4 linked regions of the Oryzias latipes genome follow. The protein of the gene in region 2 interacts with the protein of the main gene of each other region in a pairwise test. Links are inferred from orthologs where the notes say so. Each region holds a gene or a part of one and is shown on either strand. Other genes may lie near its edges. The genes, in order: nod2, vim, yae1d1 and ppl.

Region 1 (7,754 bases), on a different chromosome or scaffold from region 2:
AATCTGCATAGAAACTTTTGTCACTTCTCTTTTTTTATTTAGAAAGAGTGTAACCGTGTTTAAAATAGTTTAGGTCCAAACCACAAAGTAAAAGACAGAAATACCCCTGCTGGAAACCTAAAACTTTCACACCAACTCACCGTTTACAGCATGGCAGTCATTGGTCAAAGCAATTACGTGTAATCCACTTAGTGCAAATTGAATGAAAGTATATCTGTCTCATAATTCAAAATAAAAGTCAATACCCAAAATGCTTTTTCATTGTCACAATAAAGCTGCATTCGTTGACTCAATATTAAAAGGAAAAATCAATCCGCCAAACAGCTTTTTCTTTTTCGTCATTAACACCGCTCATTCTGTCACTTAATTAAAATGATAAAGAAAGAGGTATTTCACATTTCACTTTCAAAAAGTTTTCTAGTACATGTACCAAGATTCAATTAGATATATCTAATTTGCCAATTAATACGGATTAACAGAAATGCTTTTTCATTTTCACAATGTAACTGCATCAATTGACTCAAAAATAATATTAGAAATAAATCCTCCAAAATGCTTTTTCCTTTTTTTCTACTTCAACACCGCTCATTCTGTGGTAATCAAAGCGATAATGCAAAGAGGGGATTACATGATTGTTTTCACATCCACCGCTCAAAAACTGTCACATAATTCATTTCCAGTCAGCAGTTCCAGGGAGGAGAGATATGCTTTCATAAGTTTTGACCTGTTTTACAGAACACTCAACCCTTGTGCTATCTTAGATGACCCCACCCTTACATTCAGAATCATTGACGTGTTCTCCCTACCATGACAAAGGTGGATAAAGGTGACACCAGTGAAGATCACAAATCATTGAGGAAAAAAGGTTCAGAGCACTGTCTATTGGGTCTAGATGACCCAACTCCCGATGTTAAAGTGCCTAGGATAGCACAAGGGTTACAGAAATGTTGGTGTTTTATCATTTGAATTCATTTTTAAAGGTCTTTGTATGTAAATACGGACTTTTCTTGTACATACGTCTTTTTTTTATTCTTAAAGTCTGGAATTGTTTATTACTTTTGCACTGAAAAGTGTTTTATTTAAATTTTTACAACTAGTCATTTTTTCTTTTTTGCATTAAAATCTTATTGCTGATTTAACTTTATTAAGTCTTGCAAACTAACTCAGAATTAAACTACTCCTCACACGAATGGCAGAAAAAGAATAACAGGGTTACGCAGAAGAACAAATTAAATTTTATTTTATTTTTTTCACATTTGCACGTGAAAAATGGGATTAGTTCAGCAACATTTTAATAATTAATCATGAAGAAGATTCATCCCTGATGAGGAAATACCTGTGGTGTTGGTGAGCTTGTCCTGATTCGGGGAGGTTTGGGGTTCTTCACTTTGCTGACTGAACTGCAGCAGCATTTTTGATGCCGACTCGCCTTTGGACCCGACATGATCCAGAAGTCGCCTCGCCTGAACACAAGGAAGCACAATCAATGCACATATTTGTATGGAACATTGAACAAATCAAAGTTTTTAAGAACTTAAAAAGTAAAAAATGGAAAAAACGTAAATAAGTGGACATGCTTTTGTTACAAGATCAATCAACCAAAAAACATGAGAATTTACTCAATAAAGGAGAACTAGATTTCAGGTCTGATAAATGTGAATCACTTTAAGTGTTGAAATGGGTTGAACGGGGATGAATGAATGATTCCTGTTTGCAGACATGACAGCGCACACGAAAAAAATCCCTCACAGCTAAACAACAGCCTCTCACATTTACCTGCAGCCATCACCAAAACAATGTCAGTTGTCACCGTGTTGCTTATGTTTAGTGATTTTGCAGATGTTTGTATGCAAAGTGACTTAGAAATGAGGAACATGACGAGAGTAAAACTGACAGTCACTCATTTTAGGTTAAAAGTGCTTTAAAGAAAAATCTTAGGTACAAGAAATGTCGAGGAGTGGGTAGTTTTTTTTTTAATCTGTAAGAGGAGAACAGTCTTTGGCATGTACTTTAAAATTGTGCAACGGATAGAGAGTTGCATATCTCATTCGAGCTAAAGAATTAAGCTGCTGATCTTTTGTTGGGTGGTGCCAGGAACACCAGTTGTTGGGAAAGGTTGTGGGCGAGTGTCAGGGTTTAAAACACAAACAGGGCAGCCACAGTAAGCCAAAACAGAGTCAGAACATTGTCACTCACTCGGTGTACCCGAATTTGGTCAATTAAGTTTATAAATTCATGGCTCAGGTGCACCTAGAAGACATACAAACTAAGGTTTTTTACATCCCTGCTGACATCAAGAGGCCTTGTTCGCTCTACGCTTCCTTCAGAATACACAGATTTCAAGTATTAAGCAAAACTTTGGTAAAAAGTTTGACCTTCTTTAATTGCTCAGTTCAGTTCAAAGCACATATTGTCTCATGCTGCACAAAAATGGTTAGTATTTAAACAGAAGCGAGCTGCTAAAAAAACCCCACATATATTTATGTACTCTTTGTGAACTTTTTCTACTGGATCATAATGCAGTAAAGTCATGTTTATGTTCCTGTTAACAGCAGCAGGAAGAAAAAAAAGATGATATCTCACCACAGTCGACCTAAAAAATAAAAAGTGAAAACACTGTTTATGCCCTGAGTTGTTTGAAGAAGTACATTAGCTGCACAGAGCGTCTTTGTTTTAAAAGAAAGTCATTTGACCTCCTATATGAGCTTCTCTCAAAAGTAAAAAATATGTTCACATTTTGGGAAAATTCTAGTTTCTCTTTATATTCGTGTATATATCCATGACAAAAATGAAACAAAAATCATGTTATAAAAGTAGAAAGGACATGAAATTTCTCTTTTAATTAATTTTAATTTTTATGTCATGGAGTATTTATCCTATCAAACCTTTTCCAAGTCCTGGTAACTTTTATTACAGTTGTTTTTTTCTTCTACTTGGCACAGCAGAGAGCATCAAAAAACAGAGCATTAAAAAAACAAAAAGACACTGGAGCAGAAAAAAGATCAGAAAAATATAGCAAACAGTCAATTTGACTGCTATGGCCATTTGATCTTTATCTTTTGTGTGTTTTTTTTTAAATGACGTTAGAATAAAACATACACACAGTTTCAAAAAGTCAGGGTCTCATTAATCCATACGTTAGCAGGATTTGATGTAGCAAATTTTAAAAGCAGTTGAAACTCTCTTTAATGGTTGCTGGTTTACTATTTAAGTGGGCTGTTAGAGCTGCTACTGAGTGGAACTTCACCCCCATGACTATTAGAAATCAAATCACATATAAATCATTTAAGACACAGTTAAAGAAATGGCTCATTGACAATCAGAGCTGTCAACACTACGTACACTTCCTATCACTGATTACCCGCTACTATCTTGTCTTGTGTGTGTGTATATGTTTATGCATTTGTCCGATTTGGATTGTTTTATTGCCAATTTAATTTTAGGTTAACTACTAATTTTACTGAATGTATGGTTTAATATATGTATGTAATGTTATGTAAATATGTAATTTTATTTTGATCTTGTAAGGTGATTTTAACATCTACCCAGATAAAAAATTGAATGAATATTGACAGAAATAATTATTAATATGCGCTGTCCCTGTATCGAATAAATAAATAAAATCTAAAATTAAAAAAAACTCTTGAAAAATAAAGGAACTTTAAACCAAAGCAAAAAAATATATATTTAAACACTTTATTGTAATATTTTAATAAACAGTTGTAAAAATGCAAATACCTAAAGCCTGCCTACCCAATCAAGTCTTGTTCATTTGTGTTATCCTAAAAATGCTCACCTGCTGAGACGGGGTGTAAACAGGTAGCAGCACTTCATTAGCATCTGCAGAGGAGAAGTGTCCAGACTCCACAAGAGCTTCCACCGCATCATGAACGGAGCCCTGCAGTTTCCAGACCAGACTAGGTCTTCGTTTCAGGACCGTCTCCGTCCATGTCCTCTGAGTGACTTCTAGTTCATCCAAAGTGGATGAGTGTTCTAAGAAGCAAAGACCAGCCCCCTGCTCTTTTGGCAGAATCTGTTTGAGAGCAGCGAGGAAGAGCTCACAGGTGTCTGCACCCTTTGTGTAAACCAGGTCAAGCAGGTTTCTGGCATTGCTGTTCAGTGGTCTTCCTGTAACCTGTACGTTCTGGTAGTCCTCCCATGTGATCTCTTCCTGAGCCAGCAGTATATCCAAAATGCTTTCCAGATGTTCAGCTGACCCACCACTGCAGAGAGCACGCAGAATCTCTGTACGCTGCTTCAGCAAACGCTCCATGGCAGACGGGCTTTTTTCGCATCAGCTTCCATGCTCCAAGATTCCATCTTGGACTTGTGCTGCTCGCAACGCCCCAGCCTGCCAAACACAGATGTGATCATTCATGGCAAGAATCCACGAGTTTTACAATTCTCGCTTTACAAGTTTGCATTGGACGCCATAGGTAGACAAAACACAGCTCTTTAGTGATCTCTGTATGGCGTCCATCCACATGAGTCACATTCTGTCAAAACCTGAAGATATACTTGAAAACCTGCTATTAAAATATGATCTCTCACTACGAAATGTCAGCAATCGGGGCTCCTTCTCTCATTTGGGCGTCCTGAAACATTTGTTGGTGAGCCTCTGTCTGTCCTCTTCCTCATTCCACAACTGAAAGTGAAACTGGTTTTGCACAACTTTAATCAAAAGTAAATGTTGGTTAAAAAAAATAAAAACAGTTTGTCTGAAGTACTTCCCTGTTGGGGCGGATTTTGCAGCATAGATTTTCTGCTTAGTTCTATCACATGTAAACATATTTCTATAGCAGAAATGTGAAGGTTTCTTTATATTTTAAAAAAACTTTAAAGACAATGCTCATTTCTCCCTTTCTTTTATGTAAAAGCTGTGCTGTGTGGAACATGATCAAGTAGAGAGAAAGGTTTCAGAGACGAGGGTTGCAGTTTGATGCTGCGCCCACTTGATGGAACTGTTGCGTAATAAAAAAATCTAGCTGGTTTGTAGAGAAACCTGTGACTGGTTGACATTGGGGTTGACATATTTCTGAATTTCTGCAGCTATGTAGTTTTTTTTGTGCCTTTTTTATTTTAGAACCCAAACAAACTGTATGTGAAAAAAGGTGAATAGAAATGTAGTAAAATCAAAAGATGAGATACATAAATCATATTTTGCAATGCTTTTTCAATTTCTTTTTCAATTTCTTTCAAGTGGCTGGGATAGGCTCTGGCAGCCTTGTGACCCCGAAAGGGAACTAACGGAAGAAGATGAATGCTTTTTAAATTTTTTTTTTTTTTTGCTCCGTCCTGACCATGTGATTGTTTCGTTATCAGGCCTCTCTGTTCTGAAGGGAAACATAAATGAGCAGAAGAAATCAAAGATAGCTTCTTTTCAGCTCCTCACCAAGAAACAGGCAGCTCCCCCTTGGGGAGTGTAATGCAGAGTACTACCTGTAAGGCATCCTGTGTGAAACCTAAAGGGGGGATACTGTCATCTAAATAACAGACAGGAGTCCAGAGCAGCTTGAGAGACTTTAAAAATAAGGTATAAAGTCACTCGTGCGTCAATTTATTCAATTCAATTCAATTTTATTTGTATGGCCCAAATTCACAACAACAGTCGTCTCAATGGGCTTTGTATCGGGAATTGAAAAAGTGAAGCATGAACTCAAAAGGATCATGAATACATAGAGTTCATTAGGAAAAATACTAAAAGGAACTAACAAACTGACTAAGCTATACTGGCATCCCTGCCCTTAGACCCCCCTTCCTGGTAAGGAAAAACTCCTAAAAAACCGGATTCCGGAAAAAACGAAAACGATCATTTTAATGTTATATGCGTGCCGTATACATAATATAAAAGTTATACATCGGTGATACATGTGGGAAAAGTCTGTTGGACATACATGGAAAGCCACAAATCTGCGTGTGCATCGTGTAAAAATCATGCACAGATTTACTTATTGATTGCGTATAAACTACGTAAAATACACATAAACTGGGTATTTTACGTAGCGCAAAATGTACATAGGTGGCCCCTGTGCAGTTCAGTGAACCACCTCTGGGGTGTCCCTGCTGAAGAAAACAACAATGTAAGTGATTTTAGCTTTTGCACTTTATATAGACGCTGCTTTGAAAAAGAATATGAAAAACATTCAAAGAGCCCATTTTTCTGGGCCATTAATGGCACCTCCAGCTTCAAAAATTACCCTTTAAAAGAAAATGAGCTCTCCGTCTGTGCTGGCAAGTGCAAGAGCTGAAGGTCACCAAGAAAGAAGCTTGAAATGAAATAAGACGTGCCAAATTAAAAGATTAGCTGCCATTTATTCAATAAAGACATTAAAGGTGAGTTTAGAAAGGCAGGCATGAGAAAACTGACTCATAGGTTGGAGAGGTTTGTGTGTGATGGTAGAGAGAGGCATTAAGCTCTGGGAGTGGATGACATCTACTTTAGTGCAGACAGCTTCAGAGAAGCATGTGTGGGTGACTCAGTGTGTATCGGTGGGTGTGTCAATCAGGGGGCCTAATTGACATGAGGATTAAAGCTCACATCTAAGAGTCTGTGTTTTTTGCACAAGCAGCAAATGTGAACAAGTCTGGTCTCCAGTGTCTCCCCAAGGTTTGGGGTGCTGCGCTCAAGGTTAGCGCAGGCGCCCCGCTGAGCGCGCATCGTCTGAGATGGGTCCTACTTGTTGGACATTCATTATCAAACTCTGTTTGCTCCTTTCATCTGCAGCTCTCTGCAGCACTCAGCGTAAACTACTGAGGCACCTTGCAGCTTGACATCTCTCCATTCAGTCTGTACCTTAAACAGCATGCTGCCACATCAAAGAGCCACGGCTGCCTTTGATGTTGCAAAAAAGAAAGAGCTCCAATGATCTACTAAAAACCAATGCAACTTTCTGAAGCCTTGTTTTATTCATTTGCTATGTCTAGAAGTCTGAAGTCAGGCTCTAAAAGTCCAGACAGCAGATTTGGATTTTGCTTGCTGGATTGTCCTCTTTGCTGTGTGAAGCAAAGGCGAGACTCTTCATAATGCTGTGCTGAACGGGGAGTTTTTCTTCCGTGATCTTGTCCCGTGCTGCACCTTAAACTGTATGGGGAAATGTATTCCAACTTTAGGAAAAAGATGCAAATGCAGCGGCACAGTGAAGGCAGCTGCCCTGTAAACAGCTGTAGACATGCAGAGATGTAAACGTATACAGATTTCCAGGGGAATTTAAAGATGATGTGACATGGCAGCTCTTTTTAGGTCTGTCATATTCTACGTGCTCAGGTTTGTCCCTATAGAATGTAACTGTCACCATAAAAGAAAAGAAAAGCTCACAACTAGAAAAATAAATAATATTTCCGCTGTGAGTACTTTTAGTATACATAATCTCATGCATTACATCAATACTAAGTTCAGAAAACATCAGTTGGTTTATTAGGTCATTAGCTCTGTCATGGATGATTATTCTTTCAGTTTCACAAAAAGAACGTAATCAAGCAGGTGGATGGCTCAGTTGGCTGCCTGTAAGACTGTAAGCAGGGTTTGTTTCCCAGAGGCCTTGATGAGCTTCATCCAGTGTGGGTCTTTGGGCAACACCCTTCCCGCCACTACCTAACTGTGTAAGCTACAAGGGGGCCCAAGTTTGGGCCTCCCTGTGCCGGTCCCCAGCCTGGGTAAAATGCAGGGTTGTGCCAGGAAGCGTATCTAGCATAAAAACCTCTGGTAAACCACCTGTGTGAATCAATCAAAATTTAACTTTTGGCACTAGCAAGAA
Region 2 (7,456 bases):
GAAGGCGGAGGTGACCGAGCCCATCCCGGAAGCCCTGAGCTGAAGAAGTCTGGGCAGGAACTAGCGCGCGCCCTCCGAGCTCACCTGTCGTCTTCCTTTGTACCTGTTGGAACCGGGCGGCTCTGCTCGCCATCAAAAACGCGCAGTTCGTTCATCACCGGCAAGTGTTCAGCTGCAAACCGGGAAACAGGTGGAATGTCGGAGTTTTAGGGAAGCACCCCCTCCCCCCGTGTTTCCTCCAGCTGACACGTCACGTGGGGAAAGTTGCCCCGTCAACAAACGTGCCTCTCCCGGGAAAATGACGGTGAGTTTTATTCTGATTCACACCGGAGGTTTCTAGGAAGTTTTTATGGATCAGTGACAGAATGGAAAATGTGTGTGTGTGTGTGTGGGGGGGGGTTAAAGTCAGTTGTAACTCTTTATTGTTGTTTTCCTTAAGGAGAACTAGTATCTGAATAATCGCGGGGTTTTTACTGAATTCAAACTTTTTGATGAACTTTTTTGTTTTTGCTTGTTCAGGGTCCTCCAAAATCCGTTACCGTATTTCACCGACAGGTGTCAGGAAAAAACCCCTCTGCTTGATGAAGTCACGCAGGTGTGTTTCATCCCCTCAAATCAGACCTGGTGAGGTTGAGGCTCTGCAATAATGTAAAGGACCCAAAAAGTGTCAAATAAATCAAAATAAACCCCCCGCGGGTGGTTTCTCCTCCAAGCTCGGGTCCTCTATCAGAGGCCTGGGAGCTTGAGGGTCCTGCAGGATCTTAGCTGTTCCTGGTACTGCTCTTTTCTGGACTGAGAGGTCTGAGGTCTTTCCAGGAGTATAGCCACTCCTCCAGCTTGGGGGTTGCTGCCCCGTCCCTGTTCTCATCCCCACCTTGTGACTAGAAGTGAGAACAAATACATATGAATAAAATTTTACCAGGATTAGTTGTGGTTTAACCCAACTCATTTAATTAAGTTCATTTAAACTGTGGGTCATTTCATTTATTCATAATTCAGACCATTTTTAATGCCGTATTTCTTGTGAGCAGATGCAGAAAGTTTATTATTATTTTTAGTTGTAGTTATTTACCGTATAAAGAACAACTCTGATGAAATTGTTATTTTGTCTTAGTGTGTTGAATATTTCCTCTGCATTATTCTGATAATGGAGGACATGTATGAAGAAAATTTGGCTTAAAATTGTATTTCTGGTTTTCTTTATTTAATTTGCTGTGAATCAGGAGCAGATGAAAAAAGGATCATATTTAGAGGAAAGTCTGCTCTGCGGGCCACCCTTTCTTTTTATTTTGTACTTTATGAATCACAGAAAAGCAAAGTTCCATGAGCAGAATTTGGGCCGCTGAGGCACCTGCTTTTGACTGCAGCCCAAAGCACATAGCCAACCTTTAAACCCTCCAGCAGGAGGAGGGCCCACGGGGGAGTGATCCCACGTCATCACTTTGAGCTGGATCCAAACAGGACCTCTGGGAGGAGTCCCCGCCACCAGGCGATCACCTGCGAAACCCAGCTCCAAAGTGGTGCCCCGGTGACGCCGATCCGGGTGACAAAACTCAATCTTGTTGATTTCTACTCATAGAGGGGGGTCTAAACCGCTCTTTGTCTGGGTCATCACTAAGGAGCTGTCTGCCATAGGACACCCCACCATGAGAATGAACCCCTGGCAGCTCAGCTCCTGGGATAGCAGGAGCTCTTCAACCGTTCCACCACGTCAAGGGGGCAGTCAGGAGGCGGCTCAGGCATCGGGTCCCGATGCTTTCTGGACACCCCCCCTGGGAAGGTGTTTCGGGCATGTCCCACTGTGTGGAGGTCCCGGGGAGGAAGCGGTCGGGGAGAGGGAATCTGGGCATCTTTGCTCCGACTGCTGCCCCCATGATCCATTTCCAAATGAGAGGATGGAGCGGCAAAAAGTGTTCCTCTAAACCCAGACAATCTTATTTCCCTTTTAACTAATGGAAATTAATACAAATGAAAGGTTGTGTCCATAAAGTGTAATAAAACATCTCAGAGTTACAGTCTCCAGAGTTTATTGCTGCATTCAGGAAATAGTGAACTTCTTCTTCATAGTGCATGCTCAATCAAAATACCACTTTGGTTACAAATAAATGTTTTTGCAGACCTCAGTGAGGATTTTTATAGTTTGTTCATCAATCCATCTAAACAAACGTGACAAAGTGCTGTCAGCAGAGAAAAAAAGCAAAGCACAGTGTGGAAACTAACAAGCTTACTGGATCATCACATGTAAAAGGCACTTTCCACGCTCCTGGTGGTCGTTGGATTGATTGGGGAAACGTGGATCTTCTTATTGCTCGCATCAGCTGTTTGGAAAAGGCGTCATCACTCCATGTCATCATGGTTCTGGGTCGACTCATTGATCACCTGAAAAGGGTGAACTAAATTATTAAAAATGAGAGATCAATCAAACCGATCAAAAGACTCTTAAAGGTGACTTTACCTGACCGTCCCTGGTCTCGATGGTCTTGATGAGAACTTTCTTGGTTGTTGTGGTTTCAAGTTGGGATCTGGAGTCAACTATTGCATCTGAGGAAGAACATTTGTCAAAGATCATTAAAATAAAGTTGAATATTTTGGGTTGGAAATAGGCTTTTGAATAAATAAATCACCTCTAAGGTTTAGAGAAGACAAGTTTGGCAGAGGAGTGGAGATTCTGCAAAGACAAAAATTTACAAACAAGAAAAAAGGCTTTTTGTTAAAACATTTACAAAAAGAGAGCGCTAACAGCAGCTTATGCCACACACACAAACACCGGGCATGTAAAGAAACACACCAAACAAGCATTCTTGAATGTGCTTTTATTTCATGGAATTTGATCTGGACTGTCGCTATCCAATAGTGCATTTACCTACAGTTGGAAGAGGCTTCTGGGCCACCGTAGAAATGTCTAAATCTGGTGAGTCTTTGCTCCAGACTTTTTCTTTGACAGCTCGATTCCGATATATCAGACTTGGGGTCATTGAATTCTAGCCGGGCACAAACCGCAATTATCATTTTATCTTTCAAACGGTCGGCACGTTGGTGCCTTGAAAAGGACGCCATCCATACGTGACTACCAAATTCGAGTCTCTGATTGTTCAAACCTGTTTAACTTTTAATGTGCATTCAGCCTGAAACAGACTTAAAATCATGTGTAGCGATGCGTGGACATGAGAGCTTTGAACCCGAGAGCTCAAAACGCGCATATGCATGTCCATAGACCTTTCATTGGAAGTGGTGAAGGCCCATTTCCGACCCTGATGTGAACGTAGCATTACACAAACCAAATCGTGGATCCGTCACCTGCTCTCCTCTCCTTCCAGCAGCTTCCTGTAGGTGGCGATCTCAATATCTAGAGCCATCTTGACATTTAGGAGGTCCTGGTACTCGCGGAGGTGACGGGCCATCTCATCCTTTATGTTATGCATGTCCTCCTCCAGGCGACCGATGGTGTCCTGGTATCCGTTAGACTCCAGGGAGAAATTCTCCTCCATCTCCCTCAGCTGACGCTCCAAAGACTCATTCTGGGACGCAAACAGATAACAAGCAAATACAAAAAAGCTGATGGGTGCTGGTTTTCAAGCTGCATTGATTGACACACCCCAAGGCTGACGATGAAGGTATCGTTTTCCTTAACTGCTCACTCACAGTTCCTTTGAGGGCGTCCACCTCACAGGTGAGAGCCTGAACTTGGCGCCTGTAGTCGTTGGCCTCCTGCTTGGCCATCCTCAAAGCTTCGTTGTTCCTCGCCGCTGCTTCAGTGAGGTCAGCAAACTTGAAACGACAAACAGAGGACGGGCAGGGAGCTGAAGGTGCAGAAAGTCAACTCTACGGGGGTTTTTTTCCGCAATTCTTCTTTCCAAGGGAAGTTTTGAAATTATTAAGGGATGGGCACAGGACCAACGACTTGGCGGCCATTTAGTGGCAAAGTTGGGAAAGAAAACTTTTGCTGGAGCGATCTTCACACACGGTTAGGCCTAGAACCATAGTCAAAGTTTTGACCTCGTAAAGAGGCGGCCATCTTGAATTAAAAAGAAAATGTCCCCTTTGGCCACCAGCCACAAATTTAAACTCCTTTTAGAGATGTCAATCTATCGCCTTCTTACTCCTCGAGTATCATTGGGATTTTGAACGGCGTTGGCGTGGCGAGTTCACAGAAGTGACATTCTCCTGTTGCTTGCACATTTTTTACCAGAATTCTGTATAAATGTGTAATCCAAGAATGCCGGGCTCAAATGATGTACCGTACCATGTGACCATATTAGGAATGTAGGCGTGGTTAACATAAAACCTCCGTTGCCAAGGAAATCCCAAAATTTACTTTTCTCTGATTCGTCTAAAAATTACATCGCCCTGTTCGTCACCTTCAGGCAAACAAGGAATTATATGGTTGCTATGGAGATAAAACCAACAGAAAAGTTAACATTTGGAAAAAAAGTGTTTTTTTTTCATCAATTTCTTTCACATTTAGCTTTGACCGGGGTGGCTGGGGAAGATTGGGGGATTGAGGCATGTAGATGCTCAGCCAGTAAGGCTAGGTCTAAAGGGGGCAACGAGGGCGGTAGATATTCTGATTCAGCATATTCAGCATTTTATATTTAACGATTTACTGAGCAGGAAATGATCAGTTGGTTTAAAAAAAATTTGTGAAGAAGGAGGCTTTTACTATAGTAGACAAAAACATGATGAAGTCTGAACTTGCAGTTTTTTTATTTATTCATATTTCTGTATTTACTCCATGTTATACTTTCAAATTTCACCCTGAGTTCTTACCTTCGATTTGTACCATTCCTCTGACTCTTGGATGTTCTTGGTGGCCAGGTTCTCATACTGCAGGCGAACGTCCCTCAGAGCTGCAGTCAGGTCGGGCTTTGCCACGTCCATGTCAACCTGGACGTGCTGTTGCTGCTGCTGCACCTGACTCTGAAACTCCAGCATTTCCTGCAGCAGACATGTTCACGTCAGTCTCCAAAAAACACTAATCAAACTCCTATTCCTGCACTTTTCCAGGCATCTTCAGACCACCTGGAAATTTGATAACACCAACAACATCTATGCGGCTTCTTTTTGTGCATCCCTATGAGATTTTCAAGTGCAAGCGCAGTGTTTCTGCAGCAACCCGACGCCGCCTGGCCTCACACCGAAGCTTACCTCATCATGCAGCTTCTTCAGGAAGTTGATTTCCTCCTGAAGCGACTCAATCTTCCGCTCCAGGTCCAGTCGAGCCAGGGCAGCACTGTCCACGTCCTGCGCCATGACACTCACTCTTAATAAGGTGACTTGTGAAGGTGACATGAATTATGCATTCTGCTGACATATTCTGATGCACATGCTGTGAAGAGGACTCACAGCACCTATAAACAGTGTGTGTGTGTGGGTTGTGTTGTCACCCAAGGTCATAACATGAATCCAAAAACAGAAAAAGCAGCCGTGGGCAGGCCACACATGTCCTTGCAGGTGCTGCTAACATCATGTATTTATTGACACCTTCTGTTGGTTGTTTTTAAGATATGACACAAAAATACAAATTATTTATTCCTTCTCAACTGCTTTACCCTGGAAAATGCGAGAAAAATTGTTTTCTGGGCTTTTTCAGGTAGTTTGACACAGGTAACAAAATGATATTAAAGTCTTGCACGATGTTGGGTGTTGGATGGCCCCCAGCGACCGCCCTAGTGGCCCCCTTTCTAACTGCCCTCGCGGGCTGAAGGCCGTGTCACACAGCCACTATACGTGGTCATACGTGATAGTTGCGCCGTGTGCACAATAAAAATATTATGCATCTGGAGATTGTGCGTGAAAAGTCTGTCAGACAAACGTGGAACGGTTGTAGAAGGTCACAAATTTGCAAATGCATCTTGCAGAAATCACACACAATTGCGTGAGTCTTACGCGTATACTGTACTTTAAATATGCGTAAACTGCGTAATTTTATACCGACCAAAAATTTTGAGCAGCTCAAAACCTAAAATCATGTAAAGGCCCGTTGGCTGAAACCCTCGACGGACATCTGCGCACATCCACGAATGACGAACGCAAGAAACACTAATGAATGACGTAAATCACGCATGGATCAAAACAGACAGACATGTCATACGAGGGAAAATGTGCGATATGTAGGTAGTGGCTGTGTGACACGGCCTGCTTCCTCGCAACCAAAATTACCTTTGTACAAAGACACTAATTAAGCTAAAACTGCTAATATTTTGTTCAACATAATCAGCCGTTCAAAATCTGAAACTTACAACCGACATTTTTTTCCCAAGTAGGTTGCCAGTGTTGTTCGAAGAGCTTTGAGGTGATAGACTAAAACCACTATTAGCACTTTATTAAAGATCTTTTAATGGAAGAGTCCAGATGGCAGCCTAAAAAAAAACAGTGGCCAAATTTGACTCCTTGGGTTCTCCAGGGTTACTACGGCTGAAAATAGGTGTCTCATTATTTGTCCACATTCTGACCAGATGTGCACCTAATTTATGACAGGAAACCAGCAGATTTGTGTGAATGAATAGAAAGGAACCTGAGGTGGCCTTTGTGTGCCTGCATAGCTTTATTTTAGGAGGGACAAGGGAGCAATTCACTGGGACTTTTCTAAAATACCTTTTGTTCAGAGCATCCCAAACCACCAAGCATTCCTGTAGAGCTTCCTAATCTCTTTTTTTTATTATTAGCTGACTCCACTCTCAAACTAAAACTCTCCACGGTTCATTAGACTAGAAAATTAATTCCATTATTAAAAGTTTCCCTTTTTTTTTCTTTTAATCAGTTTCTTTTTCTCTTAACTCACATGCACTTGCAGTGGCACCGTGCAGCTTTGCAGCTTTGTCGGGGCGCTGGCAGGCTTGTAATTGACGTATCAGCAAATGAAGCAGCAGCACCCCCCTCCCACACTAATGCCACAAACAAAGTGGGCTATTCAGCAGGGTTTTCCCAGCAAGCCCCAGGCTGGGAGAGTGACTGTCTGCCTGACTGAGCAGGAGCTGCGGCCGCCGCATTGTTGTCTCAGTGCCATCCATCCTGTCGCTCACACAAATTCCACATCAAGCCATTTATTTTCTTAAACAGTCGTCAGAAAATGTTCACTTATCTTGAAACATGAGGCCTTTTTTTTTTGCATTTACATGATTCACCATGACACCCTGTGACGGCGGGACAGTCCCACTGCCACACCAAAACAAGTGAGAGTCTGATGATCCGGGAACGGGACAGCTCTGGTCACATGTCTGATCCCTCTGAGATCCACACTGTAGTCCTGCCCTTTCTCTGTGACTAGTCAGACTCAAACAATCTGCTTTCACTGCAGGCCTGACTGAGCACAACACGCCAAAACTTGGCCTCTGCAGCCAGGGCCAGGTCAGCCTGTACTCTACCGTTCCACTGGCTCAGCAGTAATCTGCTGGGGAGCACATCCGTCCCACGGCATATAAAAACCTGCTGTTAAATAGATGGAAATTAAGGTAAC
Region 3 (7,680 bases), on a different chromosome or scaffold from region 2:
TCATGTCCAACCTCATCTTGGAAACTTGGGTATCAAAATTATTTTCGAGTTTTCCATGGGAAATTACGACAAAGGGGGTCGTTTATGTGCAAACTTCACCTCAGATCGCTTCGTATTTTACGTAAATTGCGCAGCTGCACAGAAATGCTGGATAATGTAAAAATAAAGCCCCAACATCCTCCAAACTTACCTTGTGATTGATGTTGAAGTTCTTTATCTTTTTTTAGCTCCTGGTGGTGGATAAAGTCTCTGAGGCATGACGTTTTCTTGTTGTCGCTTTGATCAGCGTGACAAAATGTGCTGTTTTTTTTCTTTTCCCCAACTTTATTGAAACAAAATGCGCTCGTAAATGCACACTGTGCCAGACTCAGATGCAATTATGTTGACCAATCGTTGCTAAATGGTGTAACGTCATTATTTGGGTTGCCAAATTGGTTCATGTGTGCTGACAGGGGGGATCATTAAAGTGCAGGCAACTTTCTTTTGCACAACATTCAGAGCACACTTTGGTAAGGAAGTTCTATGAAATGGGTTGCCAGATTTGGGTCTTTTTTAATTTAATTTTTGTCGCCACTTCGGGGCCCTGCTGGTGACGGGGGCCCTACGCGGCTGCGTAATTCGCGTATAGGGAGGGCCGGCCATGCTTGCTCTGCCTCAAGATATGACGTCATGACACATTGACAGCTTCACACCAAAGTTACACCAACTTAATTGAATTAAGTTGATTGAAAGTAAAATAACTATGTCCGACAACTACGGGGTTATTTTTAAGTTGATTGAACTAAAAAAAAATATTTTCACCAAACTAGATAATTAAGTTAGATCAATGTAAAAAAGTTTAACTTTCCAACTACAGCCCAAATACTCTTTTCAGAGTGTGATGTGTTGTGTTACCGCAAAATTTTGATGTGTTTTTGTCCTATTTCCACAGAGTTGCCTATAGTCATTAGCTCAGGCTTGTGTATGTCAATTTTCAGAGAACGAAGAGAAAGTCAACGTATATTCTTATTTTAAGAAGAAAAGTACAGAGCATGATCCACAGCCAATATTAATGACTGAAGAGGAGGAAGACAAAGATGAGACGGCATCAGACGAGGACAAGTCAGCATCATTGGTCAGAGAAACAAGGTAGAACTCAGCAAAAAGGGCTTGACCTGTTCCTGGACCAACAGGTGATGTTAGAAATATGTTGCCCTAATAATAAAACTGTTTCATGTGTAATTAATCTCAATAGAAATGTCAATAGGTATTTTTATTTTTATTTCAGAACAACTGGTTTCACTTTTTGTTCATTATAGATATGTAACAGTCAAGAGCCGAACACACCAAGCAGACACACCTAAGCATTAAATATAAACACAATTAATCAAATTATCAGTTGTAGGATCTACTAATCTGCCACAGACTGGCGAACTGTCCAGGGTGTCCCCAGCCTTCGCCCACAAGTGGCCGGGATAGGGTCCGGCAGCCCGTGACCCAGAAAGGAACAAAATGGCAGAAGATGAATGTGTGTCTACTAATGATATCTACTAGTATCTACTGCATAGTGGTATCTACTATAAGTTAATGTTGTATAAAATAACAGTAGTAGTATCAGTGGTGATTTAACATATGTTAGTTTTCTAAAGGTTGTTTTACTACGTTTAGTAGAATGAATTTTAAAAATATTGCTCATTTTTTTGTGTGCCACCCTAAGATTAAAGTAAGATTAAAGTTGTCCCCTACCGGCCATCCCCATGAAAATTTTCTGGAGGCGTCACTGATTGCACCAAGACAGGACTAATCTAACTTAAACAGGCCTTTGAACAGACCTGCTATTCACCAAAAGAGGACAAACTACATAGTTACAACAGTGCATATTTTATTGGGTATACATAAGTATAAGCATACATACAGCAAATATACTATAGTCTATGTACATGTGCTAAATACTTTTTCAGACTTAATTGGGACATTTTAAGTTTACAATTTATAGATGATGTATAAAAATTAAACTTCAAGTATACGGCCTTAATTGCAGCATAGACTAATTAATACTACAATTAGTAGTTTTAGCTAAGTGTGGAGTTATGTGTGCAACATTTAAACAAATTAATCCAGGCTTGTCTACAGAGATTATATTATTAATAAAAATTAACAAAAAATATTGAACAAAAATTGTTCAAAATGTAATTAAATCTCTTCTCCCAATAAAAAATGACAATATTTTATCTATAATAATTAACATGTGTAGAGCACATATGCAGTCTGAATTTAAACCATCTTTTTCCTTTTTTTTCTGTTGTCATCAATGTTTTTTGTCATTCTTTGGAATATGCAAGAAAACGACAAATCAAATAAGCAAATAAACATTAAGTAGAAATTCAAATTAAATTAGATTAAACGTCAATATGAACACCAGCATTGTTGTAAAATACATTTTTTTCTTAAATTACATGTTTAAATAAAAATAATATTTTTACAAACTTTGATTGAATATAATATAACATTTCAATAAGAATATTTTCTTTTTAATGTTCCTCTTAATATTTAACATTTTTGAGGCTACGTCGCAGGTTGATGATGTCACCGCGTTAGCTAGCAGCAGGCGCAGAGGCGGCTAAAATGTCTGTAAGCGTTGCTCGTTTTCAGTCCAGTTCCACTCAAAAGTAAACGTTTGTCGCAGAAACCTGCCGTCCGTTTTCGCTCATGATGTCTTGGGTGAAATCCGCGTCGCTTAATAGTGAAGATGTGTTCGACGAAAACGCAGACGAGCTTCATTTACAGAGCAAAGAGTGGACCTCCAACATGAAGAAACGCGTCATGGTAAAAAAAAAAAAAAAAAAGTTAGCATATTATTGGCGTTTATTTATTTATTTATTATTACTTTATTGACTTCTTTTCTTCCGAACAGGACGGATATGTGGATGGAGTTGATGCCGGGGAGGAAGCCTCTCTTCAGGTCGGGTTTAACTTGGGGTTCAAGGAAGGAGCAGCCCAGACTGTAGCTGTGGGTCGACTGCGAGGAATTCTGGGGTAAAATTCACCTGACATGTCACTGAAAGCTATAGATTATGCTCAATTCCCACTCAAGTAAGAGTAGCCTTGCTCCCAAGTACTAACAGAGTAGAAGTAACAAGTAGTAATTCCAGTTTCCACTTAAGTAAATTTGAAAATTAGGTTAAAAACAGCAACTCAAGTACTGAGTAAAAGTAGCTGATTTATAGCGTAAATGATGCAGTCTGACCAAAGAAAAACTATAAATTCTGCTCTTTTCACTTATATTTTGAAATTTCAAAACAGTTTTTCCTTCATTTTATTTGAAACACTGATTTAAAATAGGAAATATGGATCCATATTGTGCTCTGTTTGTCCTAAACCTAATAGACATTCTGCTATAGATTAAAAAAAAGCTGGTTTGCCCTATTTTCTATTTAATGTTTTTTAATCAAATCTGCTTTACAAACGTTAAAAAACAGATTGTCTTTTCAGTTTCAGAAATTTTCAAATGTTATAGGTGTAGTGGGATTTAATCTTTACACTCTTCTCGGCTAATGAGTAATTTTTAATAATAAATAATTGGATTAAAAAAGGTCAACAAGTCTTAGTTCCAATAATAATCACAATTTAAAAAGTGTGGCTAGCACTGCTGTTTCTAAAGCGTTACTTGGGGAGATTTAACTGAAAAAAATAACGTTTTACTGCTAATCTTTATACATGTTTAAAATACACTAATTTCAAGATTTTACTACACTCAGTTTAGCTTTTTCTTGGTTAAAAAAAAGTGTAAAAAATGATGTGTTTGTGACATTTAGCATAGTTGTAATCTGTTTCCTGATTGTTTAGGGGTGAATTATGAATGATTTAATGATTTATAACTTGATATTTTAAAGTAAAGTCAATCATTTTATCCTGACTAGTTGTAAAGGAAGTAGGGAAGCTCTGACCTTCACTGTCCGATGAAGGTCATTTAAGTGTTTTGACGTCATCATCACTTCACTTTTGTTCCTCTTTGACTAAAGAATCCCTCACAGGGTTTTTGTGCAGAAACATCCTGACTTCCTTTGTTGTGATGGTTTATTGAATGCGCTTTTCTGTCCGTCAGACGGCCGCTCCAGTCTTTTCTATGTGCATCACGGCTCCCTCTGTGTCTCCCCGCCACAGGGCGGTCTGGTGCTGGTGCCAGATCCAGCATCCAGAAAGACCAGTTCCCACCCCTGTGACCGACCTCCTGCAGCGGGTTACAGAACACGAAACCCAGATCATGGAGGACATCAGGAAGGCTTTGGAAAATCCCCCTCCGAGTGTGAGTGACGTTTCGGAAAGCATGGACGCTCTCGATGTGGAGCAGGAGGATCCCTCCCTCTGCAGAGATGGAGGAAGTGGACCGTGTTGTAACAAGAGAGATGAAAATATGGATGTGGACAACCCTCACCAAAACCAAAAGATCCGCTCTGGGTCCACCAGCTGTTCCTCCAGCCCAGGTGAAGGTCTACACCTGCTCCTGCAGTGCTGTATGGATTTAGCATCAGAGCTGGGACTGCCGCAGGAGCTGATGGATCACATCCACGAGCTCGGGAACATCGACCGCATGAGCAGCATGTTTTAAATCTATTTACAGACTAAAAGTCTTGCTGGAACATTTTTCTTTCACAAACAGAAATGTGTATAATTTATGAAAGATTACTTTTTCATTTTATGGTTTGTAAATAATGTTTTTGATCATAAATATCTGTTTTGATCCAAAACAGAAGGTGTGTAAAAACAGCGGGGTATTTAAGTTCTAATGCTGAAATTGCGACACGAGGTTTGGTTGTAACCTATTGTTCTAAAAATGGGGAAAGTTTTTATTTTCACCTTTTCTTAAAAATAAATATGTAATTTACATATTTACATATTTATTTTTAGCTTTTTTTTTATAAATGCAAACCAACTGCTAATTTAAAGAGTAGGTTTTCTATCGAGAAAATTTGTAACTTATTTTAGAGCATATAACGGGAACTAAGTTATTGATAAAATATTTTTTATACAACTGTAGAGCTTCAAAAAGGTTTTAGCAAAGTTTTTAAGTATATATATATATATATATATATATATATATATATAAACGATTTTACAAATGAATGTATACAAAAAATATTCCCCACAATGTAAGGCTAAATTAGATATGTACAGATTAAATCAAGCATATACGAGTATAGTTTATAGTTTTGATTTTGAACGCGAAACATCGTATTGTGATTTACTTGGCAGCTCTTTTACGAGGCGCACCTGAACGTGGCACAAGTTCAGTCGCACATCAGTATGACGTCACCCTCGGACCGAACCGTGACCTGCTGCTCCTGCTAAGCTAAAGGGTCCGCGTACAGATGTTTCGCGGGAAGCTCGTTGAAATTTCGCGTTCTGTGCGCCGTTGTGCTGCGGGAGTCCACATTGAGGTGTTGCTGGAACGCACTACATGCGGCGGCATCGAGTTCCCCGCACGGCAGTCGCTCCGGAGAAACGCACGTTTGTGCGTTAAGTTTGCTGCAGCTAGCTGCCAGGCTAAGAGGCTAACCTGCTCCACAAAAGTGAAACAAGAGGAGCTTCGAGGGTTCAACTTTTGAGAGTTTGACTTTAAATTGAATAAAGGTACGTTCATTTTTTAACAATACAGTTTTATGTTTTTAAAATTTGCTGCCCTTAAAATGTAAAATACTTCCTTGCATTTCATTCATAACATAATATTAGGATTCACTTAAGTTAAGTTATTACTGCATTTTTTTTATCTACTTGCCCTCTTTTTGTAAAATAAAACCAATATGTTGAGATTAAAGCGGACAGTTAACATTGATTTTACTTAAACGTTTTAATTTGAAGTTAAACATTTAAATAGGATTAGGTAACTAGGTAACTCCTGTTTCCTTGATTATTCGAATCTCCTAAAGTCTCACTGCATAAAACTATTAAAGCTGTTTTCAAACATAACACATTTAACATTAGTCCATCTCAAGTCATTTATTTTGAACACAATTGAAATTTATTGTCTCCTCTATAGTCATATGATGAATCTGTCCAACAGTTCAGCCCCAAATCCAGTTTTTTGGTGCTTTTTTCTTTTTTTCAATTGTCAATAGTTTGGTCCAAAGTGAGATTTATACTCAGCAGAAGTTGAATGAATGTGATTGATCTCTGTGTCCACTTAAGGCTCTCTAGCCACGCGTGTTTTGAATGTGTGGATATTTAAAGTGTGGATGCCATGCTTTGAACAACTTTGTCAAATAAGGCCAGTACACTTCAGTTTCATGGATCTGTGCTGCACATTTTTTTGTTTGTTAGTAGTTGAAGTCGTTTTTCCCAGCTTCAGATTCACAAATATGCTAGTGTGCGATGAATTTTGGGAGAGGTCAAAGGTCAAGGCCTCATAAACGTCAAAAATGGCTACAACGGGCGTTGACTTCATACCCAACCATCTTTTAAAATTTGCGAGAGGACGGGTTGATTATTTCTGTCAACGTGAAGCAAGTTTCATGAAGCATTCTGATCTGCTGAAGAAGAAAATAGAATATTGTATTTAAAGACCCACTCGGATGAGAATCATGTTTTTTTAACATGTTCTTGTAGCATTTTTCTGATGGAGGAGATAACGAAGCTTAAATTTGCAGTTCTGAGTTTGTTTCAATCGTTGTGCATCAGACGAAAAAGATCGTATGAGTCACATAGAAAATACGCTGGCGCCGGCCACAAGCTTCCTGCCCCGCCCCATTCCACAAATAGATCCACGGACGTCTTTTGTTTTCCTCATCTGAGCTGGAATCTGGCTCAAACCTGTACGGCTGGAAAGCTCCGACATTCCTCGCCATTTTTGTTTTACCGTCAATGCTAGGTTAACGTTGTGAGGGGCTAGCAGCAGAGCATGTAAACAGAGAGCTCTCAGCAACAGGGAGGGGTAGCGGGGTTGTCCCACGCCCACAACTCAGAGGTGAATCTCTGATGAACTCCTGCCGCTCTGCAGAAACTATGTCCTAGAACAGTGTTTTTCAACCTTTTTTGAGCCACGGCACACTTTAACCTTGACAAAAAATCCCGCGGCACACCAGCATCCAAAAATTAAAAAAAAGGAGAAACTCATAGTCTGTATTGATCTACAGTACGTCCACAATCTCACATGCATTTTTGTGATAATTGTGGCAGAAAAAGCTGGAAGGTGCAGCTGTTTTTTCTAATAAATGTAATAAAAGTTAAGTTAGAACAGTGTTTTTCAACCAGTGTGCCGTGGCACACTAGTGTGCCGTGGGAGATTGTCCTCATTAACTGATCAAAAAACATTTCCCATCTCCAGGATTTCAGCTCTTTGTTCATCCAAACAGGCCCTGATAAAACACTGAGGAGTTAGGAATATGAAAGATCATAAAATACTTTTTCTTTGCATTTATTTTATTTTATTAAAGACATTTTGATAAGAATTACGCGATTCAGCTGCACCTTCAGCTGTATTTTGGAAAAGTCCTGTCCCTTTAACTGTCTCCACCAATCATCCCTGGGGGGCTTAATCACATGTCATCGGTCTGACCAATCAGAAGTGCTTAAAGTCTTCACTTCCTTGTCCCGATTTAGCTCGTAAAGTCTCTCAGTTCTAACAAAAATACCAGCTAATGCTCGTCTTTAGCTGTGTAGCTTTCCACAGAATCCGGTACCAGACCGTGGAACAAGAGAACAAAA
Region 4 (6,977 bases), on a different chromosome or scaffold from region 2:
GCTGAAACAGGAATCTGAGCATTGAACCCCAAACCCTTATCTTGACCTGCTCACTTGGTCTTGCCTGATACCATCAAGCCAAACTCCTGAATGGAGATTTCCTTGTTGTTGTACTGCTGAAGATGCCTATCAGTGATGCGGCCAGCTCGCAGCGCATCGTCGATGGAGAACTTCTTTCCAGACTTCCTGTCGTGGAGCACGGTGGACTCCCCTGAAGGACTTTTGACCGAGATCTCCTCCCAGTCACACTCCTGACCCTGCAGGTTCACAAACATCTTCCAGTCGATCAGGCCCAGTTTGTAGGCCTCCTCCGGTCGCATCTCTTTGCCTGAGTCTGGATCGATGATGACGATAGAGCGCCGAAGGTGGCTCTCTCTTTGTTCCCTCTTGATACTAACTGACCCAAGATTCTTCTGCAGCTTTTCAATCTCTTCATCCTTCTGGACTGTTATGCGTTTGAGCTCTGCAAGCTCTTTCTGCAAAGCATCAAGTCTCATCTCCAAGTTCTTCCCGTCATCCCTTGGTGCAGACTCGGTGATAAGCTTTGTCTCGTTGCTAGTAATGTCAATCTCGGACCGAAGTCTGCGGATCTCATTCTGCAGCCTCTGGTTTTCCTGCTGCAGACGGTTGCTCTCGTCTCTGATGTAGTCCAGTTCTTTGGTAGACTTAGTTTGATGAAACTCCATATCTGAGAGCCTGGAAGTAAGGCTGGCGAGCTCTTGATCAAGGTCACGCCTTCTCCTTTTTTCTTCGTCTAAAGTTCTCCGGAGGTCATCAATCTCCATCTCGGCTTCTGGGTCCCTTTCAACTTGGACCTTCTCAGTGCGGACGACTCTTTCCTTCACGTCCATTCTTTCCAAGGTTAGCTGCTGCTGCTTGAGGGCGTCCAGCCTCTTCTCCAGCAAGGTACGCTTGTGCCGCTCTTCATCGAGCTGGAGCTTCAGGATAGAGTGTTCCTTCTCCTGCTGGGGATCCTGCTGCAGCACCACTTTTTGCTTGACTGTCACCTTCTCGCGATTTTCTTTGTCCCGGATTTCCAGCTCATTCAGCCTGATCCGAAGCCTCTGAATCTCCAGTTCCGCCTCACGTCTTGCCTTTCGCTCCCGCTCCAGTTCTTCCAACTGTAGGTCTAAGTCAGCGATCTGTCGTTGCAGCCTTGAGAGTTCTGCTTTTAAGCTCTCCTTCAGTTCTTGCTCCTTGTTGATGGTCTGGACGTAGTTCTCACATTCTGATTTGAGGATAGGATCTTCTACCATCTCGACCACTATTTCCTCAACAATCTTCTCTCTGACCTGAGACAGATCCAACTTCTTTAGCCTGATCTTTTCCTCCTGGGCAGACTTTTCTCTCTCCAGATCAAGGCGTTTCTTTTGCTCATCAGCCAGCTTTCTTTTTAGAATCTCAATCTCTTCCATGGTCTTGGGATCCTCTCTGTACTGCAGCACTTCATTGACCACCTCTTTAGTTTGGACCTGAGGCTTTGTCTCCTTCCATCGTTGAATTTCGTCACGAAGTTGGCGGATTTCCATCTCTGATTTCTCAATTTGGTGTGTTTTATCAACGATCTCTTCACGAAGACCTTCCAGCTCTTTCTCGGTCTGTGGGTCTGTTTTGTACTTGATGACTTCTTTGATCATCTCTTTGACCTCCACCTGAGGTCCTCGGTTCCTCAGCATGGTCAGTTCATCCTGCAGAGACTTCAACTGAAGTTCTGCATCCTTGAAGCGCCTCTGTTGTTCTACAAGCTCAAGACGGAGATTGGCGACCTCACTCTCCGCCTTTGGATCGGGACGGACAATCTCCCTAACTTTTTCCTGGACCACAACCCTGTTCTTCTCCTCCTCCAGGCTTGTAATTTTTCTCTGGAGGTCAGACTTTTCCCGCTGAGAGGATCTGCGTTTGGACTTCTCATCCTCATACTGTCTCCGGAGGTTTTCTACCTCCCTTTCCAGAGCCATATCTTTCTCTACTTTAAGCACCTCCTTGATGGAAATCTTCTCCTCTGCCATGGCCTTCTCCTTCTCCAGCCTTCGGAGCTTCTCCTGGAGAAACTTCAGTTCGTCTTCCAGCTCTTTTCTACTATCCGTCTCTTTTTGCTTCCTTTCAAGCAGGAGCCGGTACTCAGACTGAAGCTGGGGGTCATTCTGAACTTTGATCACTTGCTCCTCGGTGATCACCTCCTGTTCTTTGTTTTTCTCCTCAGCCAGGAGGGTCACTTGCTTTTTTATCTGAGTCAGCTCATTGTCTTTCATCATCTTCTGCCTTCTAAGCTCTTCCAGCTCATCGCGAAGTTTGCGGACCTCCTCTTCCTGCCCCCTGTCCCTCTCGATACGTAGCACCTCCTTTACAGTGTACTGCTGCGCCCCCTCTTTGAGCTCGGTCTCCAGGCCACGCAACTTAAGCCTCAGCACCTCCAAGTCGTTTTCCAGGACATGGGTGTTGCGGCGCTCCTCTGACAGCTTCTGCTGGACCTTATGAACCTCTTCCTCCAGCTGTGGGTCTGGAACATTTTTGATTAGTTCCTTCTTCACGATGGTGTCCTGGGGCTTTTGTCCTTCCAGTTCATAAATGTTGGTCTGGATGCTCTTGATTTCCTTCTCAAGTTGTTCTCTCCTCTGAGTCTCATCTTCCAGCTGCTTCCTGATTCTCCAAGGCTCCTCCCCTGGAGGAGCGGCATGGACAGACTGCACATTTGTAGACTGGATCATAGGGACCTCGGGTTGCTGAATGAAGAGTGAGAATATTATATCATCGGCATAGATTTGTTTGGTTTGCGTGCAGATGCTACAAACGTGGTAAATAATGTTACCTGTTTTAAAAGGCTTTGTGCAAATTCAAGATTCTGGAGCCTCTGCTTGTTTACGGCGTTCACTTCTGTGAACTTGGACTCAATTTCAGCTTCCTGAAAGTGTTAGAAGAAGACATCTTTGTTTCAACAATGATTGACAGCCATCACAGCGGTTCCCTTTCTGCTTTCACTGAGAAAAAGCACAGACGCAGAATTAAAGGAAACGTCTGGATTAGGTGGTGGTGTCTGACAGCCAATCACGAAGGCTGAATCAGATGAAAGAGAGAGAGCAGTGTCATTGACGGCAGCGCCTCACATCTTCTTTGACTTTCACTGCAGGTGATTCCAGTCTGCTTCTCTTGTAGCTCTGAGGTACAAGACCATCCTCAAGATCCAAGACTGACTTGAACTTCTCTGTTTCAGCCTCATAGTCCTGCAGACAAAACTTGTAAACATTTGACCTCCACCTCACTTCAGTTTAGTTTAGTTTAGGGAGTCAGAGGGATATCTGTACCTTCACAGCCTGTTGGTACAGCTTGGCATTTTTGGAGACGTTGTTCAAGTCTGACTCCTTCCTTGTGATGTCAGAGAGCAAGTTCTGCAGAAAAGGAGTTTTGCTGGAGTCAACACATGTTTCAGTGACTGTATTCTTCCACAGCACAGCTCGTGTAAAGGTGGTGATCTCACCCTCTGGTTCTTCAGCTTAGTCTCCACCTGTCTGAGATCATCAGTTTCTCTGGGCTCATAGTTTGGGACACGAGACAGCCAGCTGTTCAAGTTGTCGTAGTCGTTCTGGTAGTTGTTGTATGCCATTTTGGCTCTCTGCAAGCTCTGGGACCTGTGGGGGGCAGCAGAGAAATCGGCTGTGGAGACTGTAGGCCTGGATAGCTGCAGTTCCTCTTTCTCACTGACTCACCTGGCATCGATCTGCCTGTTGAGGTTGTTGAAACGCTTGTTGAGTTTCTGCACATCCGCTTCCTGTCGTTCAATGTCTGGACAGTGCTCATGAAACCTGGAGGTCATGTTGTTGCAACTGTTTCTGGCTGAACGCAGGTTTTCTTCCAACTCCGCCATCACTGAGCTCTTGGACCTCAGATCTGAAGCCATACTCTGGAGGAGCAGCATGAGAATGTGATGAAAATCTGTGGCTCGCTGTGATGCCAGCTGAACATCCACGAATGGAACTTACAGCAAGTTCTCGCTGAGTTTTTTCCAATGAGGACATGTCCCGTGGGGCAACTTCCTCCCTGGCCAGTTTGTTCTCATATGTGGATATTAAAGCTTTTCCATTTTGAATAGACATCTCCAGCTGGTGGGAATTTTTTAGCCTAAAGAAATGTCACGTTTTAGATGAATGCAGTGAAGCAAACCTTGGGCAGAGACTGTCTGAGTTGGGACTTGAAAAGCCAAAAACATGCCATACTTCTCCTGGGAGCACTGTAGAAGCTGCTCCACCTTGGCACACTTCTTCTCCGTCTCATCCGCCTTGCTGTGGAGCTGAGGGGCACTGGCACACTTGGAATTAGAGACCAGGAAGCGTCTGGCCTCTTCCACCTTGGAGGACTTTTCTGGTTTAATCTTGTCAACAGCTGCAGAGATGTCCTGCAGGAAAGCATTGGAAGAGCGTGAATGAGTCTGTTAAAGCTGGAAGTGTCTACCAGCAGGATCAATGAGGACCCTTACCTTCATGTCCTGCAGGCGGTCAGCGCCGTCTTGCAGTGGCCGGCTTTGTTCCAGCGGTGGGCGCACTCGTGCATAAATAGCTTTTTCCTGTTTGTCTAAGTCGGTGACGACTTTATCCAAACCGGCCATCAGCTGGCGGCACTGCTGCTCCTCCTTGTCTACAGTCAGAGTAGAAACAAAGCTGAGGTCTGAGCCCGCTGAGGACGGAGATGCTTTGTGATGTTTACTGCAACAGTCAGTCTGTGCTTTACCTGTCCCAGCTCCAATCTCCTTCTGCAGCTCATTAAAGCGCTTCTGCAGAGACGCTTTGCAGCTGGCTGTTTTCTGCTTGACAGCCTTCTGCTGGCTGACCAGTCTGTGAGCACAAACGCTGAGATTAAGCTCTTTAAGCTTTTTAAAACAGTTTCTACTCTTTGGAGAGCAGCATTTACAGGTGTGGGCTGATCTTCCTGTGGGCTCCTCAGCTGTGTTCCTCCTGTTTAATGCTTTAGATCATTAGGGTGAGGAAAGGTGACCTACTTGTCAGACACAGCCACAGCCTCCGGGTCGGTGGGAGGGATCAAAAAGCAGACTGCAGGGGCGGTCAGTTTACGTCCAGCTGCATCCTTCACGTCCCACCGTGTGCCGTTGTTCCTCAGAAGAGTGTACCTCTCCCCACGCTGGATCTGGCCCTGAACAAATTCAATGTGGTCATTTTGGCTGCAGATGACATCTTCTCCTCAAGACTCAAGAGTGCAGAAGAACACAGAAGTTCTCCTAAGGAATAAAAAGGATGCTGCCTCCTTTCAGGTAAAAGTGATGAAACCTGCTCTCCTCTAACCCAGACAAAAAAGGGAACCATTGAGAAGATAACAGGCTCATTTTGGTTTTTGTTCTGTGGGGTGAATCACTATGTTTACCTGTATTTGTCATGATAAACTAGATTTAGCCAAAGACCTTAATAGCATGGATCTTGGAGCCACCGGCATCGTTTGAGCCGGCTCCATTAGAACCGTCAACGATTTGTGTGTGAATGAGCAGCATTCGTCCCGGTTTTTGGAAGCCCCCCCCCCCCCCCCCCCCTTAAACCAGTCTGGGTGCAGAAGCTGACGTTTCCTTCAGACTATCCATGTCTCTGTTCCAAAATATTTTGCTGCTCCTTCACTTTGTTGGCTAGGAACACGGAAGATGCTGTCTGCGACCCTCTGACGGCGTTCTATCTACTAAAGGCCTAAAGTACAGCGTTCAAACTGAGATTTGTGACAAAAGCTGTTTTATTAAAGAATGTGTCCTTTACAAAACAGTCCAAATAAGCCACACCTCCATAGTCATAGAAAAATAAACTGTTTCCACTGCAACCTGCTCTACAGATCCTTGGTGAACCAGAAACATCTCTGCTCTTCTTCACACTTCTTCAGCATCATCATAAATCCAACAAATATTACGTTTCTCCTTTTTATCAGCGCAGCAGACACACGTTTCAACAGATAATTGTTGAGAAAATGGAGCAAGTTGCTGCTGCATCGCCCCCTGCGTCCTGACTGATGCATTCCAGTCACAGCAACAGAACTGCTTCCAAATGTCCTGACGGAAAGAAATCTGGCTAATTATGTAAGGCTTGTTCCTGGTTTTGGGCAGGGGTTGTTATAGAGAGTGGATAATGAGAAGTGTTCTTCAGTTCCTCTCAGACTTTGTACCTGCTTTATGCTGAAAATACCCATAAAGCCGTTTTCTGAAAGTAACAGTATCCATAGTACTCATCTGCAGCAGTGTAGCCTCTCTTGTCATGAAAGTGCAACACAAACCAAACAGCAAACCCTGAAGCAGCAGCTGCAGTGAACGTGGCGCGTACCTCGTCGGTGTCATACTCGCACAGAGCTTCAATGGGCAGCAGCTTCTGGAGCGTTTCCCTGCGGTACCTCAGAGGGAGAACCTGCAGGCTTCGCTTCTGCAGAGCCTTGACCCGTTCATCCAGATGGTCCATTGCCTTAGCTTGATCCTGCAGACACAGAAGCAGGACGTCTTAGCTTCAGCTCTGCACAGGTCAGCTGCAGTCTGGACTGCAGAACACCTACGTCCAGCTCACTGATGAGGCCTTCCATCTGATAAACATCCTTAAATTCGGGGTTGTACTTCTGGCTGATCTCGGTTTCCAGCCGTTTCAGTAGGTCCTGGGTGTCACGTGCCTCCTTGTTGAACTGCATAGAGAAACAGGTGAGCCTCACCTGCCTGTAAATACGGCAGTCAAAGCACTTCATGTCATGTCTTACCTGGTGGTATTCGTCCATGTGCTTCAGGTGGTTTTCTTCACAAATAAGCAGGTTTAGGTACTCCTTCCAGTCAGCATGAACTGCTTCCATATGAGCCTAAATCAGAGAACAAAACAGTCACGTCTGGAAGACATGGGCCAGCCGGGTTCGAACATCAAACCGCCATAAAAAACAGCTCTGATAACGATGTAAAGGGGGCCATCGGCACGCCGTAGCCACTAGGCGATGAACAAACGCATCAGTCCTTTAAGTGCTTG

What was found.
Region 1: the proteins of vim (region 2) and nod2 interact in binary tests that used the Homo sapiens proteins (3 or more experiments, as listed by UniProt). The link is inferred for Oryzias latipes from reciprocal best matches to the Homo sapiens genes VIM and NOD2.
Region 3: the proteins of vim (region 2) and yae1d1 interact in a two-hybrid assay, tested with the Homo sapiens proteins (2 studies listed by BioGRID and IntAct). The link is inferred for Oryzias latipes from reciprocal best matches to the Homo sapiens genes VIM and YAE1.
Region 4: the proteins of vim (region 2) and ppl interact in binary tests that used the Homo sapiens proteins (3 or more experiments, as listed by UniProt). The link is inferred for Oryzias latipes from reciprocal best matches to the Homo sapiens genes VIM and PPL.

Annotation. Positions count from the first base shown.
Region 1 is NC_019861.2:30,236,170-30,243,923, forward strand, and holds the start of nod2 (nucleotide-binding oligomerization domain-containing protein 2), read right to left. Parts: upstream 4,632-7,754; 5' UTR 4,552-4,631; exon of another isoform or gene 4,352-4,551; 5' UTR 4,274-4,351; coding exon 3,797-4,273; intron 1,464-3,796; coding exon 1,337-1,463; intron 1-1,336. UniProt on the Homo sapiens protein: Pattern recognition receptor (PRR) that detects bacterial peptidoglycan fragments and other danger signals and plays an important role in gastrointestinal immunity.
Region 2 is NC_019875.2:29,284,054-29,291,509, forward strand, and holds the end of vim (vimentin), read right to left. Parts: intron 5,242-7,456; coding exon 5,146-5,241; intron 4,936-5,145; coding exon 4,768-4,935; intron 3,769-4,767; coding exon 3,643-3,768; intron 3,519-3,642; coding exon 3,298-3,518; intron 2,669-3,297; coding exon 2,625-2,668; intron 2,542-2,624; coding exon 2,456-2,541; intron 2,380-2,455; coding exon 2,338-2,379; 3' UTR 2,011-2,337; downstream 1-2,010. UniProt on the Homo sapiens protein: Vimentins are class-III intermediate filaments found in various non-epithelial cells, especially mesenchymal cells. Vimentin is attached to the nucleus, endoplasmic reticulum, and mitochondria, either laterally or terminally.
Region 3 is NC_019878.2:20,807,571-20,815,250, forward strand, and holds yae1d1 (yae1 domain-containing protein 1), read left to right. Parts: upstream 1-2,548; 5' UTR 2,549-2,688; coding exon 2,689-2,805; intron 2,806-2,893; coding exon 2,894-3,015; intron 3,016-4,143; coding exon 4,144-4,588; 3' UTR 4,589-4,868; downstream 4,869-7,680. UniProt on the Homo sapiens protein: The complex LTO1:YAE1 functions as a target specific adapter that probably recruits apo-ABCE1 to the cytosolic iron-sulfur protein assembly (CIA) complex machinery. May be required for biogenesis of the large ribosomal subunit and initiation of translation.
Region 4 is NC_019866.2:25,749,320-25,756,296, reverse strand, and holds part of ppl (periplakin), read right to left. Parts: intron 6,817-6,977; coding exon 6,721-6,816; intron 6,649-6,720; coding exon 6,526-6,648; intron 6,450-6,525; coding exon 6,303-6,449; intron 5,143-6,302; coding exon 4,991-5,142; intron 4,827-4,990; coding exon 4,723-4,826; intron 4,630-4,722; coding exon 4,472-4,629; intron 4,391-4,471; coding exon 4,212-4,390; intron 4,117-4,211; coding exon 3,978-4,116; intron 3,899-3,977; coding exon 3,705-3,898; intron 3,627-3,704; coding exon 3,476-3,626; intron 3,387-3,475; coding exon 3,303-3,386; intron 3,222-3,302; coding exon 3,105-3,221; intron 2,903-3,104; coding exon 2,810-2,902; intron 2,724-2,809; coding exon 51-2,723; 3' UTR 1-50. UniProt on the Homo sapiens protein: Component of the cornified envelope of keratinocytes. May link the cornified envelope to desmosomes and intermediate filaments. May act as a localization signal in PKB/AKT-mediated signaling.